Schizosaccharomyces pombe: one gene and its partners. The gene in region 2 interacts genetically with the main gene of each other region. Each region holds a gene or a part of one and is shown on either strand. Other genes may lie near its edges. The genes, in order: SPOM_SPAC25B8.11, atp12 and trm82.

The links.
Region 1: mutations in atp12 (region 2) and SPOM_SPAC25B8.11 together harm fitness more than expected from each alone (negative genetic interaction), as found in Schizosaccharomyces pombe (one large-scale study listed by BioGRID).
Region 3: mutations in atp12 (region 2) and trm82 together harm fitness less than expected from each alone (positive genetic interaction), as found in Schizosaccharomyces pombe (one large-scale study listed by BioGRID).

What each region holds. Positions count from the first base shown.
Region 1 is NC_003424.3:4,169,808-4,178,352, forward strand, and holds SPOM_SPAC25B8.11 (transcription factor), read left to right. Parts: upstream 1-3,867; 5' UTR 3,868-4,251; coding exon 4,252-5,701; intron 5,702-5,747; coding exon 5,748-6,262; 3' UTR 6,263-6,571; downstream 6,572-8,545. Other genes in the region: SPOM_SPAC25B8.08 (uncharacterized protein), read left to right, coding at 1-177; SPOM_SPAC25B8.09 (trans-aconitate 3-methyltransferase), read left to right, coding at 907-1,662; SPOM_SPAC25B8.10 (trans-aconitate 3-methyltransferase), read left to right, coding at 2,369-3,139; SPOM_SPAC25B8.12C (nucleotide-sugar phosphatase), read right to left, coding at 7,214-8,125.
Region 2 is NC_003424.3:1,484,593-1,492,186, reverse strand, and holds atp12 (F1-ATPase chaperone Atp12), read left to right. Parts: upstream 1-3,996; 5' UTR 3,997-4,131; coding exon 4,132-4,900; exon of another isoform or gene 4,901-4,949; coding exon 4,950-5,056; 3' UTR 5,057-5,324; downstream 5,325-7,594. Other genes in the region: gpp74 (golgi phosphoprotein 3), read left to right, coding at 433-1,446; cwf16 (splicing factor), read left to right, coding at 2,605-3,417; SPOM_SPAC9.11 (uncharacterized protein), read right to left, coding at 5,325-6,241, 6,300-6,369; plasma membrane thiamine/proton high affinity transmembrane transporter Thi9, read right to left, coding at 7,578-7,594. UniProt on the Schizosaccharomyces pombe protein: Essential for the assembly of the mitochondrial F1-F0 complex.
Region 3 is NC_003421.2:1,976,500-1,984,588, reverse strand, and holds trm82 (tRNA (guanine-N7-)-methyltransferase subunit Trm82), read right to left. Parts: upstream 6,069-8,089; 5' UTR 5,695-6,068; coding exon 5,015-5,694; intron 4,942-5,014; coding exon 4,356-4,941; 3' UTR 4,224-4,355; downstream 1-4,223. Other genes in the region: dph7 (WD repeat-containing protein), read right to left, coding at 1-463, 948-995, 1,042-1,217; SPOM_SPCC18.20 (uncharacterized protein), read right to left, coding at 1,870-2,088; rpp0 (60S ribosomal protein uL10), read left to right, coding at 2,698-3,483, 3,808-3,960; rRNA processing protein Utp23, read left to right, coding at 6,288-6,375, 6,488-6,577, 6,762-7,366.

The DNA of each region.
Region 1 (8,545 bases), 2.7 Mb from region 2:
AACGAAGATCGAAAGATTGTTTTCCAACCCCATGTTTCAAATATTTTAATTGACAAATTAGAAGAAAATGGCCTTTCCATGGAAAGAGCCGAGCTACCTACCAGTGTTTTTGAGGATGAATTGCAAAGGCGCGAATGGCGACCAGACCAGGAAGTTGAAGAATTACTAAGTACTTGACCAACCTGATTTGTCAGTTTTCGTTTGCATTCATATGGCTTTATGTTTTCTTTGATGTTATTGTTGTTATGTATATTCTTCATTTCGCATGGTTCCATTCTTTGTTTATGTTACACTGAGTCATTACTAAATCTCGACAATCTATTGTCAATTCAATAATATGTATTTATATCTCGGTTTTTAAAATTTTTTGACACCTGTTAACTGTAAAATATATTTTGAATCAAATACGTTCAGCAGTGCCAAAACAGTGAAAGCAACTGCTGCTCACAGTTTGTACTACCATTTGAATTGACTGACTACTGACTTCCTAGTGCTGACTAACTAACATTCGAAACCTCTTGTATATAAAACAGCTCATAAAAATTGTATAAAAGAGATAGATTTAGACCATAAAAAAAGACTGTTCTTGAGGCGAATATGTTTAGCAAAGCCACTTGTGTTTCGAATGAGATAGTGCCATACTATGTACCCTCTTAGCAATGAGTTAATGTCGGCAATTTACTACACTACATTATGGTGCACCAAGTTATACTATCAAGGACAAGATCCATTGATTGATATAATTTCCGAATATATTCGCAGGTATCGGATTTAAGAAAGTTATTAAATCGAATTTATTGAATTCATTGTAACTTATAATAAACGCGTCGCCGACAACAACACCTAAATTTATATTCATATCTGATTTTACACTCTTTATTTGAAAATTGAGAATCGATAATTGTAATGATTGGGAGAACATTTAAAACTGATATTGCTGATTACGAAACCGCAAGACCCGATTATCCACCACAAATAACGGAATGGTTAAATGATGAATTCAGTGTTAATGAGACTTCTACTATTTTAGAGCTTGGCGCAGGTAGTGGTAAGCTTACGCCAAGAATTATAGCGTCTCAACCTAAGGAAATTATCGCTGTCGATACATACGTAGAGATGCTTGATGTTTTAAAAAAGAAATTCCCAAATGTTGATTGTCGTGTGGGTTCAGCTATGGCTATTCCCCTCGAGGATGAAAGCGTTGATTTGGTTGCTTGTGGGCAATGCTTCCACTGGTTTGCAAATGAAGAGGCATTGAAGGAGATTTACCGCGTCTTGAAGCCTAACGGGAAACTTGCTCTTATTTGGAACATTCGTGATAACAGTGTACCATGGGTTGAAAAGTGTAGTCAGCTTTTAGAAAAATGTCGGGGAGGTCCACTTAACATGTTTGAAAAGGCAGCTGAACTTTTTCCTGGCTATGGATTTACTGAACTGAAGCAATCCTTATTCACTTCTGCGAAAAAATATTCTATCGAAGATTTGCACAGATTAATGAATTCCTTTTCTTCTATTAATAGACTACCAGTAGAAGAGAAGGAGAAAATGCATGCAGAACTCGATGAAATTATCAAAACAATCCCTCGCGCGCAAAATACTGACCAAGTAGACTTCAATATTCTAACAGTGGCTTATAGCTCTGAAAAGGTGCCCATCAACTGATCAGCCTTTTTGACTTTACAGAGCACTGTTCATTGTGGTGAGTAGTGGTAATACACTCTACGTGGTATAGTTTCATTGTAGCGATTCTTTTGCACCTTTACCTTTGTTGACAAGGAATTATGAGCTTTATGAATGATATTTAATAAGATTGTTTCACGTTATTTCATCAATACTTTTTTGGGAGATACATATCATTGATGACACTCTCAATCGGCTTTGCTTAGATTGTTTTTTCTTTTTTTTTACCCTCTTTCTATAATTAACTACATCATTAAGACTTCTCCTTTTTTGTCTCACTAGCCTAACAGATGGATTGAGAAAATAATATAGAAACGAATTTTTTTTAGCCAGTTTCAATTTTTAGTCGTAATCCCACCATTACAAGGAAAGGTAGTAAATGCAAAAACTTTGAATTCAGCATTTTTGTTGAGAGTTGTTTGTCTGCCTGTGATGGTCAGCCAATTTCCTATTAAATCAAATCAAAGTTTCATTTAATGCAAACATAAAAGGTAATAATTTCAAGAATTTGCTATCTCCGAGGCGAACTCATCAACCAATTGTCCATTTGAATCCAGAATAGTCTTAGTGGTATATTCACTACAATACAACACAATACCGCAGCGTTTAAGCTCAAATTATCAACCGGTCGTATCATTGTTTTTAACCACCTCTACTCTAGTGAACAACAATCGTTAAGTATAAAAAGATGGCTGAACAAATTGACTTGAAAACATTTAAAACTGATGTTGCTGACTATGAGGCTGCGAGGCCTGAATATCCTATAGGAATAACCGACTGGATTACTGATGAATTCTTAATTGATGAGACTTCCATCATTTTAGAGCTGGGTGCTGGAACTGGCAAGTTTACACCAAGGATCATCGCGTCTCATCCTAAGGAAATTATTGCTGTTGACGTATACCCCGAGATGCTCGATGTATTGAGAAAGAAATTCCCAAATGTTGATTGTCGTGCAGGCTCAGCTATGGCTATTCCTCTTGAGGATGAAAGTGTTGATTTGGTTCTTTGTGCACAATGCTTCCACTGGTTTGCAAATGAAGAGGCAATGAAGGAGATTTACCGCGTTTTAAAGCCTAATGGGAAATTGGGTCTTGTTTGGAACACTCGCGATGACACTGTGCCTTGGATTGAAAAGGTTAGTAAAATTTTGGGGAGGTACCGAAAGGACGCACCTAGCTTTGTTAGTTGGAAATGGGCCGAACTATTTCCTGGTCATGGATTTGGTAAACTTAGGTACTGTGCATTTCCTTTCTCGAGGTGTCTTACAGTCGAGGAATTACATACTTTAATGAATTCGTTCTCCTTTATTTATAAGCTTCCGGAAGAAGAGAAGGAGAAAGTGCATGCTGAACTTGATGAAATTGCTAAAACTATTCCCCGTGTCCAAAACACCGACCAAATTAAGCTTTGTTACCAAACGATGGCTTTTAGTAGCGAGAAAGAGCCTGCCAAGTGATGAATTTTTTTCAAGCGATACTCTTATGCGTAGAAGTAATACACTGTGAGTGATGAAACCTTCGACGCGGCGCAAACATTTTGCACTTGCCATCTATGATGAGGAACATAGGCTTTATGGATACTTTTATGCGTATGTTATATTCTCATTTTTTTTCTTCTTTCTTTTGTTTTGTTGTTTGTTACGAGGAATTCTTATGCTGTCAATTTTATCGCAGCTAACCTCTTTGTTAAGAATTTTGTTTCGCGTATTGAAAGAATATTTTCCAACAATCACTACTATTGCTAGATTCACCTTTATACGTTTCATCCACACTTTATTCAGTGAAGATTAGCAAAAATGTTTAAACGAGAACTCAATTCTTAACATAGCTTCGCTTATCATATGCAGCTAATATATAAATTTTTGAACGAAAATTATCATCTTATATGATACAAGTGATCGCAAAATTAGGGCTCGTGAGTATGACTAAAATTGCGATTATCACTTCCACTAAAAAGTTTAAGCATAAATAATTTTATTCTTTTTTTTTCCTAAACAATTGTACGAAAGAAATGGAAAACATTTACTTCTTGGTCTCTAAACTTCTTTAGCTTCACGTATTTGTTTGTACTTTTTTGAATAATGAGTTGCGTAGTGTTGCGGCGCTCTACTTAGTACATCATTATAGAAGTTCCATATCAAAGATAAACTTGTACTATATTTGGACTTAGCCTTATCCATCATTGTACTATTCTGCGTTTAAACAGTCTCAATTGTCAGTTTTGAAATTGAATTTTATTTGCTTATAAGTCGCATTTAATTAGTCGTATGTTCTTGCAATTATCATCGAGTTATAGAAGTTAAGTATTCTCATTCGCATTTTGGCATTTATTTGCTATCCCTTGGTATTCACCCGGTACCATCTTTTGATATCTTCTTAACCATATGTGTGTTTTTGAGTGGGTTGTTATACGTTAGTTTGCTCGAAGGTTTCATTTGGCTTTAAGCATTCATTTGCTATTATTCCCATTTTACACAAAATCAGGTAGAGGCCATATAAACCCCTTATAAGCTTGATTGAAGAAAAGAAAAAGAGACCGATATAATTGGCCTGTTTCCTATTATTATTAATGTCTAATTTGATTTTAACGCCTTCAAACAATGGCACAGAACGGCCTTATCGCTCAAGGAAAACTAGACCTTGTGACAATTGTCGATTGCGGAAAAGCAGGTGTGTGGTAGAGTCAATTGGAAATCCCTGCTTATTATGCACGCAGTTGAAAATTCCATGCACCTACCATCTTCCTCCTATAAAGCGCAACAAACAAAAAAAGCAACAGGATTCTGTTTCAGATGACACACCATCAGAAGCAACAACAACGACTAACGACGATCGTGATCCAAAGTACAATGCCTTAGGCAATAATTTGGATGCTGTAAGAGGAAAAGTGATTTCACCTACGCAAGGGTCAGATGCTCGTGGACCTGATGGTCGTCAAGTTCCATTAAATCTAGCAGGCATTACTGAAATGTATCATACTTCAGATGATAAATTTGACAAACTTGGACTTGACGATTCTTTGAACTATCCTTATGTGTTGGGGCCAACCTGTGATTCAGACATCGATCTTATTCGTGAGTATTTTTCGTTTGAAAACGGTGTTTGCTCTTTCGATAATATGACTGTTAAGTACGTTTCTACTAGCTCCAAATCACCTGTAATGTATATCCTGGATCCTGCGTATGAGAATGACCGTCATAGTGATTTTTCTCGATATGATCATGCTTTGCACGATCTATTATCAACATACATTGATGAGGCAACTGGCCGCACTTTAGTTAATTTGTACTTTAGTCATGTGCATCCTTCTTATCCTATTCTTCATGGACCTAGGTTTTTATTATCATATAAAAACGGTTCTCGAAATGTACCGTCTATTTTACTTGCCGCACTTTATTCCGTAGCTCTTACCTACTGGCCTTCTGATTCTCGATCGTTTGGAGCGCCACCACTAGATCAACGGAAAATGTGGACCATTGTCGAGGAAGGGTTGAATTTTCATTTTACACAACCACGACTTAGCACGATACAAGCTGCTCTCTTGTATTTAATTAGTCGTCCTTTACATAATATGTACAGTCTTTCCAGTATCCTTTCCCGTACGACTGTCCTTTCGCAGTTGTTGGGTTTTAATCATGATTGCACGGAATGGAAGATACCCAATGAAGAGAAAACCATCCGTAAACGCATTTGGTGGGCTATTTTTATTGCTGATAAATGGTATTCAATGTATTTTGGGTTAGCTACGAACATTCATGAAGATGATTTTGTCGTCCCAAAAATAGAATCTGATGAATCATTGCCTCTGGAAATCACATCGTCACATTCCTTTAAAACATTTCTTAAAATGATAGAGCTTAGTTCTCTTTTACAGGATATATTACAAGACTTATTTACTGTCCGTGCATTAACCCGTCATTCAAAAAACAATCGTTCTATTAGTTACCAGATCATTGGCTTTTTTACCAGATTAAACAGTATCCGTCCTGTAGAATTTACAGAGCCTGCGCTCGGAGTTGGTAAGTTTTTTTTTCCTCTTTACACTTTACTAATTGTTTTATTCAGCCTCATTAAAAATCCAGTTTGATGCTGTTGAAATATTGTTGTGGAAGACGGCATTGAGGTTCAACTTACCCGATTTTCAGTCTGCAGATGACTTATTCGTTTGCGTAGAAAAATCTGTTTCGAATTTTGTACAAATCACAGCCAACTCTTCGGGAGACTTTTTCTGGCCTTACGCAGGATTCCATTTTTCAACACTTGTTTCGCTTTTAATTCGCTTGCATTTAGATTTCCATACAAACAATACATACGGAGCTAGAGCTTTCTCACTTTTGGATGCGTTTGTGCGGCACTGTATCACGTTGCATGAGGCAGGTTTTGACTTTGTTGAAATGGCAATTAGGCGATCGTCTTCTTTGTTAAAGGAGCTGGGCAAGGACCATCCGCATTTATTGGCTCTTCGAGACGATATATTTAATTCTAATGATTCGCGAGGCGAAGAAGCTTATAATCACGTACCAGAGCAGCTGTTTGATCCATGGAATCCTCATTCATGGACGTTTCCCAAGTCCGATTAAAGAAATTTGTCTCTCACACACTAACTACATTGGCTAAATACTTAGGTTTACTTCTTCAAAGAGATCTGTAATTAATGTACATCTGAATTGGTGAAAATGCTAAAGATCACTTTGTTGTCTGTCATTCACAAACATATATATACATACAAAATATTGAACTATGCTATTGGATGTTAAACGTTTCTTCTTTATCTTGTGATTATTTTATTTTATTTTAAAGTTTATAGTGCTGGTCAAAGAATGCCTGGCATCTCTTATGACATTTTGAATAATAATACATTTATAATTTTGAGTCATGATAGAACCGAAACTTAATGGACTTTTGCTGCATGGTTTATTTAAGTAGTCTATAACTTTATACACGAAGCTTACGATACGAAGTTTTTAGATTGACTAAAGTTATATTCATTTGCTAACGATAGGCATCAATGACAAAACAATATAATATACATCAAACAACGTCCATAAATGCTATTTAACATACCGAGTAAATGAAATAATGACAAAAGCAAGCCTCTAACAAAACAAATAAAGAAAAAGAAAGAGTCAATTAATACAAATAATGAGAATAAAACACAAGTATCGCCGCTGTTGCTTCAACAACGACGTACGAGTTGGATGTATTGTTCACAGTGTAGAGGATCGAATCTAGGGTCTATAAAACAAACAGTTATGAAAGGGGAAAGGAATTAACGGGTATATATATGTGACATCTCATTCCAAGTAACCCCTTATAATAAAGAAGCAAACATTAAAGGAAAGAGACAGAATTGTAACTAATAGGGAGAAAAAATAAAAAACATACTAAATAAAGATTTATATAGATGAGTGTAAACGAATGCAATACGTCCGGAAATACAGCACTCCACAAAATGTCAAAAAATGGAAAAACGTCAAAGTGATTGTTGAGGACGCAAATTCATGTAAAGAAGACAATTATCCCGTAAAAATTTAAAAAGTGTAGGGAGGAGGAGTGTAGTCCTCGGGAATGTTGAAGATACGCTCAAGAACCTCACCTACAGCACCTTCCTCGTTACCAACACGAGAAACAGCTTTGGCCTTCTCAATAGCAATGGGCATACCATTCTTGATGGCAACAGACCAACCAGCAATGGCAAACATAGACAAGTCGTTTTGACCATCACCAAAGGAGATGACATTTTCATTCTTAACTTCAGGGAGGATGTTAGAGGTGATGTACTGAAGAGCAGTACCCTTGTTGCTGTTGGAAGGAATCAACTCGATACAGAACTCCAAAGCTTGAGTAGTAGCAAATTTCTCTCTGGGGAATTTACCAAGAATGTCACGGACGACGTCAAGCTTATCGGGATCTTCACAGACAGCCATCTTGATAACCTTGATTTCGCCAGACTTGACCTTCTCAATGGCTTCTTCACAAGGCATAGAGAAATCGACCTTTTCACCAATTTCAGCCAAACGCTTGACATTCTTCATGTCCTCACGACCAGGAGTCAAAGCGTAGACGTAGTGCTCATCATAAACAACGTTGGCGATGTTGGGGTTACCCTTGGTGGCCTCAACAACCTCCATAACGACCTCAGGCTTCAAGTGATCGGCATAAACGATCTTTCCCTTGTTGTACAAGACACAACCGTTAACGTGGGCGGCAGGGAAGGCATCCAAATCCAAGGGGATACGAATGAGATCGACGGCAGAGCGTTGCTTGCCGGTAGCCAAAACAATGGGGAAATTGGGGTATTTTTCACGGATGTACTTCATAGCACGATAAGTGCGGAAGTGGAAACGATGATGCTTATCCAAAAGTGTACCATCGACATCGGAAATGACCATTTGAAGTGTGTCAAGGGTGGGCAAATTGTTAGTCTTGTCAACAGCGCTCATCTTTAAAAATGTTTATTTAAAAAAAAAAAAAAAAAGAAAAAGAAAAAGACAAATAAATCTACGTGGGGTTTATTGGGGGGAAAAAAGGGCAAGAAAAGAAAAATATATATCTAATAAAGTAAAAAGGCGAAAAAAATCAACAAACCGTTTTTGTTTTTGTTTTTGCTTTTTACCAATCCAATTCGATTTCCGGTATATATACCAAGTAAAAAATTCCAATCAAAGTTTTGTTAGACGTTTAACAAACACCAACAAACAATACACTATACTGATCCTACAAATCCACACACTGTGTTTTGTACAGGAAAGAATGTATACACAAGGGACGCCTGTCGAATTTATATTCTCGGCCAAGAGCCATCCTTGACAAGAGCCGAAGATTTTCCGACATCACTGACGTCAGTTAAAGTTTTCCCGAAG
Region 2 (7,594 bases):
GGTTACGGGAGCATCTGTTAAGCCACCGTAATTCTGCTACCACTTACGGGCAGAACTGCGCGAACATACAATCCTCAAATATCAAGTATTTATTAATTCTTTGTTGTCTTCCAAAGTTCTTTGGTGGAAATATTCCCAGTATCTTCAAAAAATTCGGTATTTAGTTGGGTACTTCTGGTTCAACCTACCAATTTATAATAATTTGCATCCCAACGAAAAGTTGGATTAATTGGCCGTCAAGGTTCTGAGGAAACAAAAGCAAAAGGTATTTTTAATCAAAAGTTTTCCCATTTGTTTGAACGTTTCTTTCTTTAGCGAAACTCCTGTATTGCATACTTTTGCTTTCAACGTTTTGCATATCTCTCTCATCTTCTTGATTATTTGATATAGACAACAAGAAATTTCTTGTATTTAGGCATAAAATTCAAAGAAATGTCAGGTGGACTTTCCCGAAGGAGGGTTGCTGCCGCAAGTTCGGACGAAGAACGTCCAGAGATGAGGAGCGTCTCTCATTCCAAAAGTCATCTTGAGGGATACGATGATGATCATAAAATCGCTTTTGATCCAAAGGATTTGGAACAAGGCGCGGAAAGGGAAAAGCAACCCAGGCTTACACTGATGGAGGAGGTATTGTTATTGGGTCTAAAAGACAAGCAAGGTTATCTTTCTTTTTGGAATGACAGCATTTCTTATTCTCTTCGGGGATGTATTCTAATGGAGCTCGCATTTCGTGGAAAGTTGCGTATGCAAAAAGACGTTAATCGTAAACGCTTTCCGTTAGCGGATCGTGTAGTGGAGTTGGTTGATGAAAAACTTACAGGTGAGGTTCTTTTAGACGAAGCTATTAAAATGATACATACTAGCGAACTCATGTCTGTAACCTCTTGGATTGATTTGATGAGTGGTGAAACGTGGAATGTGATGAAGATTGGATATCAATTAAGACAAGTACGCGAACGGTTGGCAAAGGGCCTTGTTGACAAAGGGATTTTAAGAAATGAGAAGAAGAATTTCTTACTTTTCGACATGCCAACTCATCCCATTGCCGATACCTCCATTAAAGATTCCATTAAAAAAAGAGTGGTCTCTGTTCTTACTTCACGAGTAATTGAAATTGATAATTCACCTTCTTTCCCAGAATATTTGTCTTTTCGTTGCCTTCGCACTGTTGCCCTTGCTTGTTCCTCATACGCTGCTAATGTTCTTGAAAACGCTCTTGACAATTTAAACTATGAAGATCGTGAAAAAGCATTTTCTCGCGTAGACGAGCTTCTCTGTGACTTTTCGCAATGGCCTTTTGATCTTCATGCTTCTTCGTCAGTTGGCGCTAACTTGCCTGAGCTAATTTCCGAAGAACTTTCCTCTGTGAAGGAAGAGCAACTACTTTTCATTGAGGTAGTCGCTGCTGTTCTTCAAGTTTTCACTCATTTAGATTCTTTACTTTGATAGCCAAGCATATCACTCGTTGGTGTTGTTTGAGTTATGTTATTTCCAACTCAGACTAATGAACAAACGTATACCGACTTCTATATCGCTAATGTCGGCTTAATTTGTTTGTTTTTAATTGGAGTATTATTTTAAAAGAAGTCAATTCAATCAAATTGTTCGTTGTTGTAAGAATAGTACTTTGAACAATCGGTGCTTCATTATCTAGTTGAATTTTCATTAAATTGGTGGTACCATTTCCACATATACTCTCTCCAGTTGAACACTTTATCTCGATATGGAGGCAATCCCATTTCGATATTGTCTGCTAAAAAAGATTTGTTCAGAATATCCCGGGTCAGCTTTCATTCTTTTCAGTTGCGGACATCGTTAGCTATTTTCTTCTCGTTTTAATGATTTACATACGTACATATAAGTCAGTCTTTCTTTTCACAAAGCTTTAGTTATTAAACTAACGAAAAATGACAATTGTGTAATTACTATACAGTTATCTTTTAAACCATTTTAAACTTGGGTTCTTCCACAAGCTTTACTTAAATGAACATATGATAAATTAATATAGCAGGTGTTTTCTTATGATCATTGCTATCAACTTTACTAAGACGAACATAAGCTGAAATACAGCGATTTTTAACCAAGTTCATATAAATCATCTATTCCTGCCATTAATGCCAACAACCCCATTAATTGTCTATTGCTGTAAGCGTAAAGTACTATGGAGACTGATCAGTCAAAATTAATCAGAAGCATTTAAATAATACACAATTTATAAGGGAATCTAAAGTACTCTTAAAACACCGGAAGGTGTAAGATTGACAAACAACGCTTGCTCACGTCTCGATAGCTCAGCTCAGGTATTGTATAAGGAAATATAAGGATGGTACTAAATATGTTTACGTAGTGCTATGTGCGCATTCAATTTATTACCGCGACGTATCGAGTGTCAAAGAACTACAGATAGTACTAGTACTTTTGCCATTCGCTTACAAAAAGCGCATATCCACATAAAACTAGCATTTTCAAATTCATCTGTAAAGTCAAATAATTCCAACCCAAAAGGACGGTTAAATTTTCCTTACTTTAATTTATTCTTTTTTTTTGAATTTGGTAAAGCAATTCTCGTACGTTCATTTCATTTTTTTTTCATAGTTTCCAACAATGTCTGAACGAAAGGTACTTAACAAGTATATCCCGCCCGATTATGATCCTTCCATTCGTCCTCCTAAGAAAAAGAAAAAGTTTCAAGGACCAAATGGTGGGAAATTGACTGTTCGTTTGATGACTCCATTTTCAATGCGCTGTCATACTTGTGGAGAGTATATATATAAAGGAAAAAAGTTTAACGCTAGGAAGGAGAAAACCGGCGAAAAATATTTTTCAATTGATATATTGAGGTTTTATATTCGCTGCACTAGGTGTGCTGCTGAAATAACATTTATAACCGATCCAAAACATGCAGATTATGCAGCAGAGAGTGGAGCTTCCAGGAATTATGAGCCGTGGCATGAAAAAAGATTACAAGAATATGAAGAAAATGAGTTAGCTGAACGCAATGACATTCCTGAGGAGGACGAAATGGAAAAATTAGAACAAAAAACATTAGACACTAAACGACAAATGCAAATTAGTGATGCACTCGACGAACTACGTGAAAAGAGCGCTCGAAGGTCTCGAGTTAACATTGATGATGCAATCGCTCTCTTAAAGGAAGATGCATATGGATCAATTGAAGAAGAGGAGTCCAAAAAGCGGAAATTTGAGGAAGAAGAAATTGATCGTGAAGCTAAATCGTTGTTTTCGTCTCAGGATGGTGAAATTATAAGAAGATTGAATGCAGAAACAACGGTTGAAAAAGAATTACCCAAACCTATAGATTTGGTTTCTGAGAAGCTGGCCACTTCCAATATACCGAATTTTCAGCCTCCAAAATATGCAAAAAGGAAAATGGAGAAGAAAAAGGTTTTGGTATAACGTCTATAAATGGCTAAATTTTTTAATTACTTGCATTTTTTATAGCTAAGCTATTAAAAATGTACATGTTCTTTTGTACCAGCGCAAGGTTTTTATTGTAATAATATTTAATGAGTTTTTGATGGATTTTCATAACGCGAGTTGATAGTCAATATCCTGTTCTAATTTTTATTATTCGATTAGTAAATGTAGTTTGTTATGTAGAATAATACCGTAGCATTTATAGAAAGGTTTTATTTTGTTTGTATCTATTCTTCAACTTTAAGTTTTTAACAGCACATGTTAATTGATTTTTTTTAAGGTTCCTTCTAATTTTCCGAGTATCTAATTGTAATTTATCAATTTACATTTACGGTTTGTCAAAAAGTAGTCTTAATCGTAGCTAAATTCAAGGCGGCTAACGTAAACAACGGTTTAGGAACTATGATAGGAACGTCTATTAATTTATTTTAAAAGAGTTTTTTCTTGCTTAATTAAAAACTACTTTTAGAAAAAAATATTAAAACTTATTCTCATCATGCCTGTGACAAAATATTGTTAGACTCATCTTACATAGTAACCAATATTTTGGAGAACACCAACTAAAAACGTATATCATAATAATTAACTCTTAAACAATAATTAAAAATTAAATTTTGGCAGTTTGAAGTACGAAAGATTTTTTAGTGTCTCAGATAGACACCTTGAATACCCTTTTTTTTCTATTTTTGTAAGATGCTTCGATCTTTACAATTTTACAGATTATCCAGCAAAAACTTGCTGTCATTTAAAACGTGCTATTCGTTTTACTCTACAAAAGCTTCCTCTCCTTTGCCGCAACCATCATTCAGGAGATTTTGGAAGAATACAGCTACCAAAATCCAAAATGGAGAAGTCTTGATTCAATTAGATGGACGAAATTTAAAATCACCTTCTGGGAAGATTGTTAAGGTACCTAAAGAAATGGAGTTACTAGCACACTTGATTGCCCTAGAATGGGATCGATTACCATCAACCTCTGTTCGACAACACAATCTCCCAATTACTTCCCTAGTTTCGAGAGCTATTGACATATCACAATTCAAAAAAGAAGAAAAGGAACTACTTTCTACTCAATTAATTCGTTTCCTTGACACCGACACAATTCTAATTTACTCCCCCGAAACAGAATATGAAGGGAAATTGTTGGAGGAGCAAAAGGAAAATTGGTGGCCACTGAAAGAAACCTTTGAAAACAAACTTGGTGTGCAATTAAGCTATTTGGATGGTGATGCTGGTATTATTGCCCATAAACAAACGCAGGAAACACACGAACGCATAAGAAACTGGCTCAGCTCGCTGAACTCTTGGCAACTAGCAGCTTTTGAAAGATCTGTTAGTTGCTGCAAGAGCTTCATAGTTTCTTTCATGATTTTAAAAGGATATTTGAACTCTGAAAAAGCTGCCGCTTTGACGAACTTAGAACTTCAGTACCAAACAAATCGATGGGGCTCTTTGGAAGATGGTATGTATAAACTCTCTATTATTCTAATGTTAAATACTTACAACTGCAGCTCACGAAATAGACAATGAGGATCTTAAGAATAAGTTGGCCAGCTCGGCAATACTCTCACGGTGCATAGAAGACATGCATGACAAAAGTAATGAACATGCCCACTAACGGCTATACGCAAACTCAAAAAATTACAAAATTTTTGGAATAGCTCCCTCTGGGTGAACTCAATTAAGAGAACCCTACAACTGTTTACTTAAAACACTGCACATTGCCAAATTAGAATTATAGAGTAATGTTGCCGTCGTTGAACAGAGAATTCTAAATTAGTTTCCTCATGTCGAATATGCTGAGCTATTATGTCAGTTATCCTTCAGACCAAATTGTTTTGACAAGGTACCCAAAATTAATTCATGAATCAATGTAAATGAATAAATTAAGATAATCCTGCATTTTGTAATTTATCTTTTAGGTTAGATATCTCTTCTTCCTTTTGAGCCAATAGAGTCTTTGTCTCTTGTAATTCTTTCTTAAGAGGTTCTACATAATATTTAAGTTCCAACTGTACGAATGTGAGAAGCTCCCGAATCTTTTCTAAACGTGAAAGATGAATGCAATTTGTATCGTCGTGGTAAAAAGAGTCATTATTGTCAGTGCCTTGAGTTTTATGCTGCGAAGAGTCGAATACGATAGGCTTGTAGGATGCAGATAGTTCATTTAATGAAGACATAGGTGGTTTGTCATTATCAGGAACTTGGAATTTCTGGTTAGTGTTATTCAAAGTAGTTATACTATTGGGTTGTGAAGGTAATCCGATATAAGCAGGTGAATCATTTTTTGTTGGGGTTCCAGGTTCTGTTTCGGAAAGTAAAATCGGATGCCTTAAAGGAGATGTTATGTATCCAGAATTTGGGGAAGTTTTTTTAGGACTCAATTTGTTAGCATCAATGGACATAAGAGAGATGCCTCGTCTTTTTGGAGATAGAGAGTTGACGCTAGAGTAGGATATATCTTGATTGTTCCCCGTAGACGATTGTTCTTCTCCTTCGAACCACTGCTCAAAGCAGGTGCTCATAGGAGTGCTGATGACTTGCTTAACTTGGTCTGATACTTTGCTTTCATGACCAGTATCCTCGTTTAGTAGTTTTTTATGCAAGAATTCATCGTAAGATGGTATGAAGCTGTCAATAGATAAATCTATTGAGCCATTAGATTCATTATTAAGCTCGCAAAGCGCTTCGTCTAATTTAGAGATTCGCGATGCTTTCTGAAGCAAGATTTCTCGTTGGTCGTCTATTACTTTTGTGGGCGTAGAGGAACGCAACGGATACTCCATTTCCATATCTTCATCATCTGTATTTTATTTTATTAACTTATTAATCTTCCATTAAAAACACACGGCATTACATACCAACTGAAATTGTAAAGTCATTACCCAATTGCTCAGCAAATATTTTTGTATTTTTGTTAGCAGAATCCATTTATATAATAAAGAAAAAAGGTTGAACAAGTGTCATAAGGATTTGACAAAAAACACAAAAGTACCAACTAGGAAAATCTGCAATTCTTAGTGTATTTAAAAACTTCCTAAAGTAGGTCAACGTGATTATCTTGAAACAGTGAAAAGTTCACTTCGCTTTTCACAACTTTAGCTTGTTTATTCGAGTAAAGATTCAATTTGTTTATAAGGTGCGATTAGTGGAACTAAGCAACTCTCTTTATGTCGATAAGTCGTGTACAACTTTTATATACTTATGCATATTACTATATGTTATTGACATTAAAAATAATGGTCATATAATGTACTGTTAATTTTTTATTAATTTCACTTATAGTCATCTATCAAAGTTAGAATTACATAAATTAGAATAATCCAAAAAGACATATTCAATATCACCAAGTTGAGGAAATTTGAATAATATGCCTTCAGTCCAGGCTAACAACATACAACCTCTATCCAGTGCAAATATTTTGGATGCAGTATGAAGTGCAAATAGTCGTAGGTTAAAATCTAAATTCATGAGGAGTTTGTATCAATGCTTGAGAGAGTGCGCATATGAGACTCTTTTAAGTATTCATTCTATCAGTAAAACACATTTAATCAATACCATTCACTACATTGCTTTTAAAGATGTATTTTTGGTATTCATAGTTACAACAAATATCAAATTTCAGTAGTTGTTAAAATCATATTTTAAGAGCTACATTAATTCATATTTCCTAGTGGTGTTCAACAAGCTTCTGTAGCTCAGTCGGTGGTAGCATCCCTCTCATATTATGACACAGGGGAAGGTCGTGAGTTCGAGCCTCACCAGGAGCATTTTTTATTAATTTTTTCCTAAAAAACAATAATACATTTCAATTCCAACATTTATTAGATATAATTAAATAGTTCAGTACTAGTCCGGACTTGATTAGAATGTGTATGCATTTTAATAAAATCATGTCTATTTATTTAACAAATTAGCATATCTTAATTTATTATTATTGCAGCGCAAGGCGAACAGTACTACATAATTAAAGATATTTTACGTGTATAAGTATGAATGAAAATGCTTTTATTCAATATATTATCGTATAACATAAAGGAAAAAGAAAATAGAATGACGATAGAATTTCTGAATAAAAAGCTGAAAATTAAATAAACCAAAACCCCAAACGAAATAATAAATTGAAACAGTTGAACCTCTCATACCTTGAGTTCTT
Region 3 (8,089 bases), on a different chromosome or scaffold from region 2:
CGTATGCATAAAATCTCCATACTCGCCAGTAGCAATATAAGGACCAAAGGGGGCTCGAGAGAGGATGGAAACAACACCAGAATGATGAACTTGAATGTCCCTCCAAATACATGAATTGGGGATTCTTTGATCATAGCAAACAAGAGCAGCATCGTCACCTCCCGAATAAAGGAGGTTATTGTCTTGACGAGAATAATGACACGTCCAAGCTTCGTAATCGTGCTCTTTCCATTTGTTTTTAATGACACCAGAGTCGATATCGATGATAAGAACACTTCCGTTTGACATAGAGACCGCTAGCTCCTTTCCGCTGTCCGAGAAATCCAAAGACAGCATAAGGACGCTAGAATCGGCCACCTTGATACCACGTAAAAACATAAGTTCTGCTCGAAATTGATGGCGATAAAAAGAAACGTGGCCGGTGGAATGAGCTACAGCTAATACAGAAGCATCATGAGGAGACCTATAAGATGAATTAGTATCAAGTCGCGAGAAAAGAAAACCACGGGGTATAATCCATGAAGCGTCGAGCAACAACTGAGAATCAGGAGAAAGGCGAGGTTCAATGATGGAGTGAAAATACTAGAGAAAACGAAGAAAAGGTAAAAGGAGAGCGTTGTGGAATAATATGGGTATAATTACTCCCTTTTTCCGCGTTTAAAAAATCGACTACGGATTATTTACTTGCACCACTGATTAGAAACGCTTTCTTTTGAACACCGAAATAAACCTTCTTGACTAGCCTTCAAAACAAAGGTGTGAATAGCATGAGCTCAAGAAAGCGTATAGTCAAAAGGGGAAACCGTGGCTTGATACGAACTGTAGATTTACGACAGGATACTGTATTATTGACTAAATCACATGGTTGCGAAAAACCCTCATCATTTTACGCCAATCTTTTAATTCTTTTGATGAACTTCTGCTCGTTGACCGTTTTGGCAACTTACCATTTAAAATCTAAAATTGCATCGCAGTGCATGTCAAACACTCTTTTTCTAATCTAAATTAGTACTTTTTCAAGAATTTTTTGATCTAACATACAGTACATCTTCTTTGGTATCATAAAGCACCAATTTTCCATGTCGCAATTTTGTCGATTCATCTAACATATATGTCCCAACGACTAAAACATCCTCAAAGACTTGAGAGTATTTACAAACATCAGCAGGCCAATCCGTGTAATCTGTACTCTTTGGGATAATTCCAGTTTCACTCATTTCAATGCCAGTTAGTGGTACTATCAAGTTGGTAAATTCGCTTTGTCTGGGTTTACTAATGTATCAGATCGGTTACGCTTTTTAGAGAATCTCGTAATTATATTTGCCGCGTCACTATCCCAATGTTTGTGAGTTGGATTTTCTTCCGTTTGGTTAATTCAATAGCAAACCACAACGTACACGTATTCTTTTCGTTAAACAATAAAATGCAAAGTTCAGCGTGCTCTAGAATACGTTTAATTAATTAAATATAACGGCTTCTTTCAGATAAGTTGCTATGTAACTATAACGTATTCAAAGAAATTATTATCTTTAAAGATTGCTACTACGGTCGTTGGGATTTGTAGTAAAGGGTAATTAAATAAGGAAATTTTGTAGGCTGGCAAATGTACGGGTGATTGAACCTTAATGTATCAAGCGGTAAGGTGATTTGGGCTGTATTTATCTGTAGGTCATTGAACGAAAGCCCTTGAAGAAGAAAGAATTGGTCGGTTTTTATCAGAGTCTTTCGTTGCAAATTAAAGCTAGATGACTTAGGACAATTATTGAGCAAAATCCTTAACTTTCTTAATCATTTTTGAACAAGTTCAGAACTTTGTGGGTAGTCTCGCATCTATATAAGGTTACGTACGAATAGGAATAGATAATCTACTCAAGTGTTTTTGATGTTCAATAAATAAAGCGCTCGATTCAAATTCCAATTTTTGTTAATGTTTAGACATGACACCCGAATTGAAAGAGTTCGGTAGTCATTCATCAAGTTGGCAATCATGTTTCTTCGATAATAAACAATGAAATCAGAAACTAAAAAAATATCCATAGGTCTTGTTTTTTCAGTATCGGATTTTTTTCTATTCCAATATAAACTCATTGTCAATCATTTTCGTAGTATTTTACTTAAAACACATCTGTTGAATTTGTGAATTCACTAATCACTATCGCATGGAGGCTGAATTTTTCCTTTGACTCGAATGGTAAACGCTTCAGCAATATTTGAGATTTGTTCGTTTTATATTGAAGGATAAAAGTACTGCTCGATGCCACGAATTTTACGGTCTCATTTCAATAGCTGTATATGGTACGTTGCACTCAAGATTAGTCCCACATGCACTTTTGTGATGAGAGTAGTAAGTCTAAAAACTAAACATACACATTTCTCTTCTTCTTTTCTCTCCAACTGACTTTTGTGAATTGCATTATTTTATTCTTATATTAACTGCATTTGTATCTACGTTTACAACGATATTGTTTTACCGTTATACCATATATCTTAGAAATTGGCGATAAAAGTAAATGAACGAGCTTCCGCATTGTGTCACTATGTCTCTCGCAATTCTTTGATAAGGCACTACGGTTTGGTACCATAAGCCTCTCCACAACTCGATTGACAAGTCCAAAAAACAGTCACGGCGACAATATGTGAGTAGAAACATTTGGGTAAGAATTTATTTTCTTCACAAACCACCAAACCAGCAAAAAGATGGCAATTTCCAAGGAAAGCAAGGCTCAATACTTCGAGAAGCTCCGCTCTCTCTTCGAAAAATACAACTCTCTCTTTGTTGTTAACATCGACAATGTGTCTTCTCAACAAATGCATACTGTCCGTAAGCAGTTGCGTGGAACTGCTGAACTTATCATGGGTAAGAACACCATGATTCGTCGTGCTATGCGTGGTATCATCAACGATATGCCTGAGCTTGAGCGTCTTTTGCCTGTTGTTCGTGGTAACGTTGGTTTCGTCTTCACCAACGCTGATTTGAAGGAAGTCCGTGAGACCATTATTGCTAATGTTATTGCTGCTCCTGCTCGTCCTAACGCCATTGCTCCCTTGGATGTCTTTGTCCCTGCCGGTAACACTGGTATGGAACCCGGTAAGACCTCTTTCTTCCAAGCTCTTGGTATCCCCACCAAGATTACTCGTGGTACCATTGAAATTACTTCCGATGTCCATTTGGTCTCCAAGGATGCTAAAGTTGGTCCTTCCGAGGCTACTTTGCTTAACATGTTAAACATCTCTCCCTTCACCTATGGTATGGATGTTCTCACGATCTATGACCAAGGAAACGTCTTTAGTCCTGAGATTCTTGACGTCTCTGAGGAGGATCTTATCGGTCACCTCTTGTCTGCTGCCAGTATTATCACTGCCATTTCCTTGGGCGCTAACTACCCTACTATCTTATCCGTTATGCACTCTGTTGTCAACGCTTACAAGAACTTGGTCGCTGTCTCTTTGGCCACTGAGTACACCTTCGAGGGTACTGAACAGGTATGTCCTATAATATCAAATACTTCAAGGAGTTTTAAACCTTTTGTTATAAATAATGCCTTTTCTTTGAGGTTCAATGAAAAAATATATATTTTTGAACCTCCTTAATCTTTTCGATGCTTCTCCATCGGCAGATTTCGTTGAAGGAGCATTATATATGAAACAATTGTTTTGCAATGCGTTTTGATGAGGATTATTTTAACTCGCTAAATTTTCATGAGCGCAAAGTTTAAACACTCTAATTTTTTGCTGAACGCTTGTATACAATTAAACTCTTTGAATCATTAAATTATTTTTGTACTCAGTTCACTAACTTTATTTTAGACTAAGGCTTTCCTTGCTGATCCCTCTGCTTTCGTAGTCGCCGCTGCTCCTGCTGCTGCTGCTGGTGGTGAAGCTGAGGCACCCGCTGCCGAGGCTGCTGCTGAAGAGGAAGAGGAATCCGATGAGGACATGGGTTTCGGTCTCTTCGACTAAGCTTTTTTTGTTAGATAGCACTAATGGATGTATCTCGTGTTCTTTAGGCCTTCTAAAAACAATTTGCCGTTGCAAGTATTATGTAAAGTATTGTCGTAGCATGTAAATGGAAGGAATTGAATAAACGATTAATTTTACTTCTTCAAATTGCTGACGTTGCACAACTGAATAGCAGTTGCACTTATGCAGTAGATACAAGTTGCGTTTATTCGCATAATTATTAATCGCTGACTGTATTTATACTTCAAAATTCTGGGTTTCTCCAAAGAAATTAAATGCTCTCCCTATTATACTTTAATGTCACAATCATTTTTATTCATATCTATTTTCCATATTTACTGATGCTCCCACTTTTCCCAATTATTTTTTTTGAGCCGGTCTCCCTAAAATGAGCTTTAATTATCTTTAGATTCAACGGATGGCGAAGATGTACCGGTTTCAACACTGCGAATGAATTTAGAGTGGTTCTTGCGTAATGTGTGAATTTGAGCGAGCGGGCAGAACGGCTTTTCGGTTGATATTAAACCATCAGATTCTATACGCTTTATTACATCGGGTTTCGTAAGAACAGCCGCATTCCCTTCATCAAATTTCACGCATTCAAAACATGCACCAAATGTAAAACTAGAGTCCAAAGAAATGAGAATTTGATCAGTATCCGTGTCAAGCAAAACAGCGTCAAGAACAGGCCCTGACAGCTTCAAAGCAGAATGAAACAACAGTCTCTTTTCAGGTGTCACCTTCGCGAAGATAAGACCCGCCATTCCTTCACACGCAAAAGCAACAAGCTGGCGCTTAAAAATAGGAAGAATAACTGAAACCACCATTGGTTGATTTAATGAGAGATAAGTGGAAAAGGCAGATCGTAGATCGAATGCATCCAAACATTTGAAATTCTCTAAATCCCATACGAAAACGTGATTATCTCCACCGCCAGATATTAGAGTACGATTGTCATATAAGGACATCCTAGATACAAAACTAGGAAAAGGCGTTAGTGTTATTTAAAAAAAAAAAAAAAAAATTGATCAACTAAAACCAAATGAAAACTTACTCTTCATGACCTAAGCAAAACCCTTCAATGACAAATGCATTGGGAAATCGGGAAATACGAATATGCTCGTCTTTATCTGAAGTAATGATTATTTCTTCTTTAGAATTTTGTGGATTTTGAGCAACTATTAATTGAGTTAAGATCGAAACATGCCCCATAATGGGTTCGAGTTTTTGCAATTTCGAATCCTTTAAAGTGTCATTATTAACAGGTTCTTGTTTTCCTTCAACCACATTTGACTTTTTTTCTTCGGTAACTTCAGAAGTAGTAAACCAATTTTCGTCTACACAATAGACATCACCAAACTTATCACCAAAAACAATTTCGTTTGAGCCCGCAAAGCACAAGTCAGCACATCGCTTTGGTATGTTTTTTTGATAAAGAAGTTCAATTTTATCAGGCTGAGTGCTATCCCAAAGGCGCAAACATTTGTCTTCACTAACTGTTGCCATACGAGAATAGTCTTTAGAAAATGCGACTTGACGAATCGCTTCTCCATAGGCAGCTGCCTCTCTATGTTTTTCATTTATATTGTCTCTATAACAATGTTCAAAAATTTTTTCCCCTGTAGAGCATGAGAACCCCAATAGATATGGACCTGAACAGCACACGATGTAATTGTGTTTAGAATTCCATGTTAAAAATTGACAAGGGTGCTTAAAAACTCGCTGTTCACTCATGTTTTTATTGATTGATTCTTAAGAAAATAGAAGCAACAAAACAAACACTTCAGAAATAAACCTCTAATTTTTGGATCCGAATATATTTACAATTTTATAAAAAGAAGAAAAAGAAGCTTTAGAAGAAAGAAAGTAATAATGACAAATCTTTCAAATAATAAAAAGCAAAGCTTTAAAATTATTTACGCAGTAGAAATGAAGAAAAAGTATGATAAGGGTAAATAATAGACTGAATCCTCTTTCTGCTTAATACCGTTTCCTTACAAATTTATCTAAATAGAGAAATAAAAGAAGTATACACTCAGTTCGAAGCCAAGTATCTCACTTAAGTTAAATAGTTAAAGCGCCCAAAATTTTAGTACGTGGGTGAACTTGGAAAGTACAAACTAGTTGGAAATTTCCTAATAAGAGGATTTCAGCAATATTAGGGTTCCTGGATACTTCTTTTAATACGATTGAATTTATTTTTTTAATATTTCTAATAGTAACAAAAGACTTTTCGTTTTTGAGCGAAAAAAAAAATTCTTAAAAAAACAAGTGATCTAAAGCATATTAAGTCTTAGGCTGTGTGACGCACAGAAAAGGGCGTAAATATGAGGCAAAAAAGGGCAAAGAATTACAGAAAGCTGATGCATACGTATCAGCTTTTATTTGGATTTCGTGAACCATATCAAGTACTCGGTATGTGGTACAGAAAATGATGCTTGTAAAGATGCATCCTTACCCAAGTTCTAATTTGCAAACAATAAGCATTTTCTTTTTGGTGATGTTATTAAACTAACATGATTTTTAGTGGATGCAGATTTCCTAAAAGATTTATCTCAACAAAAGATTGATATACAAGCTGCATTAGCTAGGACTGTTCAAGGAGCTATAAAACCTAGTAAGTTTTGTTTATAAGTGTTTTCTTTTACTGGAAAAAAGGGCGAACCCCCGGAATATGAAACAGAACGGAAAGTTTAATTATTCAACATAGTATCTTTTCATCCGGGTCTGGTTTATTATTTTCTTTCCTTATGTTCTCCTTGTAAATTATTATAACTAACGGATTTACTAACTGACTATAGTGATTACTCAATGTTGTATTCGGCAATTGTACAGTAAATCCGATGAATTGAAGCAAGAAATTCGTATCGCAAAGTCTTTTGAGCGAAGGAGGTGTGGTCATATTGATGAAGCACTCTCTCCTTCAGAATGTATTCAGAGTGTAGTCAACATTAATGGTCGGAACAAGCACCGCTATGTTGTTGCTACCCAAGACCCCGAGCTTAGGCAAGCTCTTCGTTCGGTCCCAGGTGTTCCACTTATATATATGAAAAGGTCAGTTGTGATACTAGAACCAGCTTCACGAGCTACGTTATTAGAAAAGCACAACAAAGAATCCGTTCAGATGGGCATGTCAAAAGAGGAAAAGTTGTTATTATCCGGAAAAAAGCGTTCAGCGAATGAACTGGCTATCGATGATCAAGATACCAAGGAAAGTACGGATTTAGCGGGAACAGAGGATTCTGCTCCAAAAGCCAATAAAAAACGCAAGGGTCCTAAAGGGCCTAACCCTTTAAGCATCAAAAAGAGATCATCAAAAAACCATACAACGGATGAACCTACTTTACCTGTAAACATAATAGGTGATGTTGGTGAAAGAAAAAAACATCGTCGGAAAAGAAAGTAGACTGCTTATTGTTGGAAATTAGCATATGTATATATTTAAAAATAAAATTTTTCGGGATAGGTTTGCCTACAAGTGTTGTCTACTAATATAACGCTATCATACATACAATGTTTCTGATTCAACCCTTCCTGTGTAAACAATACTTTCAACTAACGCTTGTGGCTAAAGAAACGAAGAAAAAAAATTGGGTATAGGCACAATGTAAATATTTACGATGTAATCATCACAAATGTAAAGTTGTAAACCATTTTTCATCTAGATTCAAAGTCGTTTAAAGCGAAAGAGAAAAGGAAGCAATTATCCAAGCGACCTAAAAAAGCAGTTTCAACCAAATTTAGCTTAAAGAGAAAATTGAAATTTTTATTCGACTAAATAAAAGGTTAGATTATCTTAAAAAGATTTCAATCGTTGATATATTAGGGGAGAAACTGTAAGCCCAGTTGTGAATGCTAACGTATTTCAGTAAAAAAAATATCGCAGTTTACTGGCCTAAATACATACTTTGCTAACAGTTTTCTATTAACCCAACAGGACCTTAAATCTCTGCATTCTTTGTATTGAAAAGATCATACTGTTCGTGGATTTGCGCGTTTATGTAACGTTAAACTCGAATAATTTGCATTTGGCGGTCATTTTCGTTCTTGCGATTGATACAGATTCTGAGCTTTAACTAGCGCTTATTTGTATTACAACACCAAAGGAGCATAAATTGTTTTTTCTTGC